Drosophila melanogaster: one gene and its partner. The protein of the gene in region 1 interacts with the protein of each later gene in a pairwise test. Each region holds a gene or a part of one and is shown in the gene's direction. Other genes may lie near its edges.

What was found. Proteins that work in one complex are often made in the same cells at the same time.
Region 2: the proteins of CG14853 (region 1) and CG15365 interact in a two-hybrid assay, tested with the Drosophila melanogaster proteins (one large-scale study listed by BioGRID).

What each region holds. Positions count from the first base shown.
Region 1 is NT_033777.3:14,607,642-14,611,397, forward strand, and holds the start of CG14853 (uncharacterized protein), read left to right. Parts: upstream 1-2,000; 5' UTR 2,001-2,466; intron 2,467-3,756.
Region 2 is NC_004354.4:9,066,341-9,070,096, reverse strand, and holds the start of CG15365 (uncharacterized protein), read left to right. Parts: upstream 1-2,113; 5' UTR 2,114-2,589; intron 2,590-3,756. Other genes in the region: CG10970 (uncharacterized protein), read left to right, coding at 32-343.

The sequences.
Region 1 (3,756 bases):
TACTAAATGAAAGGATAAAATGAGTATGAACTAGTTATCGGTATTCTAATTATATGTTTAAGATATTCGAAAGAGTGCCTTGGGCCTTTGAAGTTTTTGAAACGGAAATTGGACAGTTAGAACATCAGAGGTCTCAAGATCACTTCGGATTACTTGTATTATCTCTGTAGTCTTCGGTTTCAGCGACTAATTGTACATTTGTGAAACGATTGCAAGCAACCAAATCAACATATCGCTAGCCTTTAAGTATAGATCCTAAGTCGATACCAACAAACCAAGCAGCTGACATATCAACGCGATTCATTCAACTCTAGGAATACCCACCCCATTTAGCGCTAAGATACCCACCTTTGGCATGCCGCTAAGCATGAAAAACTCGTTCATTCTCGACTCCTCAACCCGCAAAGTTAAACGCAATAAATTTTTTTATATATAAGCAAAGTCAAACCTATTTTCATTTGCACGTGCGAAGGACGTGATGTTTGGTGTGGCAGGACTTGTGGGAGGCAAAGTGTCCGTGGCGAACAGGAAATCGTGCGGAATCCCTTGCAACACGCAAAACGGGATTGCAACTGCCAACGTAAATTTCCCTTTTTTCGGAAACAAACGCAAGCTTTCATTTATGCTGACTGGAATGAGTTTTTCGCGCTTTCGCCCAAATAGAAAAGCGAAATGGAAAAGTGGAACGAGTTAAATAACACAAATGCTTGTAGATCTTTTTTCTGCTGACAATCTAATGGCCGCTTAGGGATTAATGCTAGCTGCAAAAAAAATTAGGAATAGCATTAATTCAGCTTATGACAGTCGGAAATTGTAATGGAAGTTTTTGGAGCACTGCTTAAACAAAAATTATTGCACCAATCATCCCTTGACCTTTTTGATTGTTGCAAATGTGCAAGGACCGTAGTTGAAGGACAGCACAAGCACATTTTTTCAAGAGTTCAAAATGGCATTCTTTGCATTACACATCACAATATTTAATATTCAGATTAAAAATGATATTTACTGCACCAATACCAGGGAGATTTAATTTTGTTCCTCCCCCAAAAGCATGCCACAAAAATGCTGAAAAGCGAAATGCGGAAACCTCATAGGAGTACTCAGTACCCAGCATCCATCCTCGTCGGGCTGCCTCCAGCATCCGCCACTCGAGGGCATACATGGATCCATATATGCAGTGTAGCTGAGGAACAAAAAAGAATACCATAAATGTATAAGCAAGGATTCGCACTAAGCCGGCATCTCTTAATTCACACTCAATGGGCCGCAAAAATCTCTCGCTGCGCTCCCGTTGCGTACGCTCTGCATAGTATTTTTCCCAGCTGGCTTGCCACTCGCGTTGCATGAACACCCACACTAACACTGATAAATCTATACCTTCACAAAAACACACACACACAGAGACGGAGGGCAGACAACATGGCCACAATCAGTCGGCCATCAGTCTTTGGCCTGCACCATTTCCGTATCCGCTCCGCTCTGTTGTTTGTTTTGTTTCTCTGCTGTAACACAGCGATAGAGTTACAGAGAGAGCGAGAGAGAAAGAGCTTTGTAAGAGCAGAGCTTTTATATGAAAGGTTTACAATATTCAAAATACCATTAAACTTACAAAGATGCTAACATTTAATTTTGAAATAATTTAATACATAATAAATGAATAACTAATTAGTTATAAAAAATGGGGTTGCAACAATCAGTGGCTTGTTTCATTGTATAATTCTGTATTAAAACACAGAAAAATACAATGTATTATCTAAAGTATATATATTTATAGGAACGTATGGTCATTACTGAGAAAACAAAACTCTCCAAAAAACCATTTCATTAAAAATTAGCTGAAAAGTACTTCATCATACCCCTCACTGCATACAGGGTATTCAAAAAAGTGAGAGCAAAGCGCGTTGAGAGAGAGAAAGCTGGCAAAAGAGAGCGGGAGAGAGCCGAAAGCTTTTACTTGAGCAAGGTAAAAGCGAACAAGTGTGTATAAAAAGGACATTTCGTTCAGTCGTCGACTTTGTTAATTAAGCGAAACTGCGACGCAAAAAAGCGGAACAAATTTTCTTTGGCCACAGAGAAAAACGTTTCCATTTTCCGCTGCAACAAATTATTTAAAAAGTAAAACATACTGTTTGTCGTTTACTTGCATAAAAAACAATCGTGCATCTGAAAATTGTGAATGTTAGCGCGTAACCAGTGAACCAAAATCGAAGGACGTGTTTTGTGTGTGTAAGTTTATGCAAAGAAAACACTTGCAACCATTTTTGCAGCTTCAACTGCGTAGAAGCCAAGGAAAACACACGTTAATTACATTATACCCACGCCGCAGAATCTTTGATTCGCTGAAAGTCCTGGGACTCAGTACTAATTAATCCTGGGACTTGCTGCTTCCACAGCTGGGAAAATTCCGAGAGGCTGCAAATGCATTAAGCAGGTGGACGGAACACCGCACACCGTAAATAATTGAAGGTAGGTGAAGTTGCCCTGTCAGCAGGCCAGTGAAACTGATGCCAGATTTCAACCCACATCACCGCCACGAATCCACGCATTAACCTTCGTCCTTGGCGGGAATTGTGTGCTCTTCTGGTCGGCATTTTTGTATATTTTAATTATTTATTTCTGCCACTCGAGAGCGGTTGCCACCCCAGAGTGCTGAGCACTCGAAACTTTCTGCACAGCAACACATTTTTAATGATGTGCTAAACGATCATCTCGAGGCCCATGTAAATTTTCACCTCGAAATGCGGAGCTTAACCCCTTGGGTTTTCATGCGACATATTTGTAAAATGTAGATGCTGGCAAAAGGAAATGCCCTATGGCCGAAAATAATGGAACGATGTTGTTGTCTAATTATTTTATGTTGCTTAGTTAGCTTCCAGTTTCACTGTCTAGAAATATACAAGAATTCACATTTTAGAACTACTTTCTTAAACAATTTAATCTTGTTTTACAAAAGTAATAGGCTTAAGTACGTAGAAATCTTGCCATTTGATAAAAATTATATAGATAGATAGGCATCTATTATTTTTGCCCCATAAGAAGGATAACCCTTGGGGTTATTTTTTTGTTGAGTGCAAAATTGAAACAACAAAATATATCCCCTTTATTGCCAATTGAAAATATAGAACATTATATGTGCATTCTCTTATTACTTTAATTTTGAAAAATACATTTAAAATTGAAGTGTGATGAACGCATATATTGCAGTTTAATATCAATAAACAAAAAGTCTAAAAGTGAAAAATAATTTTTGCAACACTTAAAGCGCCAAACTCTGCAGACTGGTGACTTAGTGCATATAGTATTTTCCGGGTTTGTGACAATCACTTCACTGGTTTTTTGTTTCGGGCTCTTCTTGGCTTGTCACCAGCGTCTTTGGGTCGAGTTGGCGGGCACTCATAAATATTTCAAGAAGTCAAAGCTGGGCTGTGTATGTCTTGTGTGTCCTTTTCCTAGCAAATATGTAAGCAGCCGCAACTTGTTAGCGTGTGTGCCTGTACAAACACTAGCAAACGACAGCGTTTCGGCTTCGCTTTCTGTGTCAGCCAGCGGCTTTTTCATCCTCTTCATCATCTTCTTGGCCAAGAAGACGTCGCATTGTTGCTATAATTTTAATTACCACTTGGGTGACTTTTGCGCCGTGAGTCGGTGAAAAAGAGACTCACTGTATGAGTGAATGAATGAATGAATGGCACAAGACAGGCTGCCGAGTGGAGGCTAGAAAGCATCTGAAAGACAGAGTGTGTATGTGTAGCTCGC
Region 2 (3,756 bases), on another chromosome or scaffold:
TTTTTTTTTGGCAAATTCAATCTTACTCGAGATGGCAGGCCAAAAGGAGGAGATCTTGTGCTGTGACTTTGAGGTGCGTGGCAGGGTGCCCAAGGATGCTTTCGAGCTGTTTGCACTGGTCCAGGCCAATGCACTGGGACTGCGGGGATTCATTGCCCAGGTGTCGGAGGAGAAGTTCAAGGGTCGTCTGGAGGGCGAGGGCAAGGTGATCGATGCCTTTAAGAAGCTCATCCTGGCCGCCGCCGATTACGTGCAGGCCATCAAGGAGTTCATTATTAAGAATCTGAAAGTCATCCAGGAATACACCTACAAGACCTTCGAAATCAAGGTGAACCTAAAGTGATTAAAGGATCAAACAAAATAAAATATTTCCAATGCATAATTTTGTTTAAAACGGCTATCAAAAGTTTTATCCATTATGATTTGTCTAATATTTTTGTTGTATGGATATAACAAGGTATTTTCCAAATAAAAATTACACAGTTATATAATCACAAATTCAAAAGAGTTTCCTAAAGAGCTGATTTATACAACAAGCAATTTCCCAAAGAGAAGAACCTGTATGAAAATGCCAAACTTTTCATGGGCTCATTGTGGATTGAATGATTATTGTTGCGATTGCTGGATCTGGGCAATTCTCCAAATGACCCATGGATTCTCACTTACGAGTACTCCATCGTTGGTTCTAGGACCCATTGCGATCGTGACGAATGAGCTAATGATGTCCATGATCCGTGGGAGGGGATAACCTTGTGGCCATCGCCGCCGGCGATCGGATATCAAATCGAATCGCATGCCTCGGATGCATATACTCGTAGTAAGCTAGCGATGTTCCCGGCTGTTTGGCATGCAAATCGAAGAATCTGATCGCCACCTCGATCGACACGATGAAGGTGTACCACTGGACAACAGCGAACATATAGCCACGGATGGTTATTTATGCGTTCGCGGATACAACTGCCGATTCACTGAGTTCCAGACTTCTCAACCAAATAGCACTGGTTAACAGGCCAGTGAGAAGTGGTAGATTTGAAGTTTAGTTTTTCTATATTAAGAAGATCATCTTAGTCGGCTAAGCACAAAACGTTACCATCTCAACACTGCACATCGGGGGGAATTATCAAAGTGTTCTTTTGTAGGCCAGTGTCGTGTATCTGCAGTGATATATGGACAGCTAAACTATCTTGGCTCAAGCAACGTTACAATTTTATGGGTCAATTTGCGGACGGCCATTACTAGAATTTGTGTGTGTGTGTGTGTGTGCAACAGGTAGCCAAGTGTGTTTTACACAGAGGAAATTAAAAAATCCTTGGTATAAAAATCCTTCCTCCTGAGAAATCTTAAGGTTCAAATATATTCCAGTGAAGAAACTAACCAAATATTAAATACTATTAAATTTTAAATACTATACTATTAAATATCAAATACTATTAAATATTTTAAAGAATTATCTGTAAGTAATACAATTTTCTCGCTGTGTATCTATGAATGTAAGCAATGAACCTATATGCGAAAAGCCACAAAATTGAGGGAAATTAACCTAGGCGGCGACTGCGACTTGGACTAATGCGGTTGCCGCGAACATATATGTTTATACATATGTTTGAATCCCAAGTCTGGATCCGAATCGGTATCCAAAATCAGAATTAGCCGCTTAATTGCAGCGCTGTGGCAACGCCAGCAAACCGGAAAGAACGGCGACAATGATTGCCAATCCGATTCGCAAGCAATCAGTGCTGACTGTACGTCATAACACCAATAGAAGCATAATTAGTATAATTATAAGTTATAAAAAGTAAAGAGTATGAGAAACAGCTACTACATTTAGTACACAATACATTGATCTTTTGGAAAATATGCTTATGAAAGTGATTGAATCCTTAGCCAACAAGTTAAATAACTGCATGAATCTCTAAAGTACAAGTTATATTCTTCAATTTTCAAGTAATTCGTACACATAAACGTTTGCAATCGAATGAGAATGTCATTTCGAAGATGACTCTTTTTTTTATAAGCTTTTGAAAAAAGCTAAGCTCTCATCTCTGATCGCCGGCGCGCCGCAGTCGCGTCGCAGTCGCCGTTCGCTGCTTCCAATTCCGACGCTCTGCAGCTCAGTTTGCTTTGAGCGCTGGAACGCGAAAGTCGTCGACGGAGGGCCAACGTTGCGGATGAAAGTTTCGAAGCGAACTGGGAAGATTTTTGAAAAGCGCAGGCGTGCAACGGTTTTTTTTTTTTAGTTTTTCTTTTTTTTTTTTGGGGGGGTTTGGGCTACGCTTCGCGGCGAGCGGTGAATGGCAGCCTTTTTTTCGAGTGTGGTGGCTGAGTGCAATTCAAAACGCATTTCGTGCATAATTTGTGGAATTTTACGCGTTGTAAAATCAATTTCATTGTGCAAATTTGAAAACTTGCCTGCTTTCCGTTGGCTTTCAGCGGCAACAGCTGAAATATAATGCAGCCACATCAAGCGGGCAAGCAATAAACAAATATCAAAAAAAAAAAAAAAACCAAGAAAATTTACAAAATATAAAAACACACACATTTGAAGAGTCAACAACAGCGATTACAAGGCACTAAAAACCAAAGGAAGAGGTGAGCAAATATTTCCATTCATTTGTTATTCTTTCGTTGGGCTTAAAATATTTTCGTATTTTTTTTTTCTTGTTGCTGTCTGATTTTTCGTTTATTTTGGTTTCGCTGATTTTTTTAATTCGAATGGAGTACACAGAAAATAATAGAATATGTTGAAAATTGTAAGATTTAAACATAATAATATATTTATTATGTGGCATTTGAAATTGAAAACGTGCTAAAATCAATTTGAATTCGACCTGCCTAGCTTGATTAGAACAAAGTAGTACATGCTCTTTTCGCACAGTGTGCCTATCCCAGCTGGCTCACACACACACAGGCACACGCACAACCTCTTTAAAGTTGTCGCTGTTGTTGTTGTCCTCATTTATCTGGACTCAAAGAGCTGAAGTTCGGAGTCGCGGACTCAAAAACTCTGAGCCGTCGTCTTCGATTATTGAGCCGTTTGACTTTTTCCCAACTGCCAGCGAACCTGTTGGCCCCACAGGCAAAAAACAAAAACTACAGCGAAAATATATACGAAACTGGTGAAAAAAGTAGATATATATACATATATATATATATATATATGAAAAAAAAAGATGAAAAAGATGCTCTGGTCAGCCTCTAGAAATAAGCAAGTATCTGTCTTTGAGCTCTTTTCTCTTCTCAATCTTTTGCTTTTTTGCTTTTTTTTTACACTCGTAAAGCCCATAAAGTGCCGCATATACTTGACCTATCCGAAACTGCGGGTTCTACCCGGGGGGAATGGATAATGGATAATGGATAATGGATAATGGATAATGGTCGCCGAAGTGGCCGAGTTGCTTACTGGGTTGGGTTGGCCAGTTGCACTTGGCCTTAAATCGCTTTATTTTACCTGGAAAATCTCTAATTCGTTCCGACGGAATTCAGCGATTTTATGTTGAAATGTCAAGTGCAGAAAAATAAAGTGGTTCTAATAAATATGCAAGTGAAATACATAGATCACTAACAATCCCCTAGATACCTCTTAAAAAACGATCTTTATTTTAAATATACTCATATATAAAGTTTATGAATATCCTTAGTGAATGCAGTAAACAGAAGGCAATATAATATGTTTTTGTAAGTGAAATACTACTTATTTAGAATAATATTCTATAATATATTTGACAAAGACCTGATTTTTTGTTCACTGTGCAATCT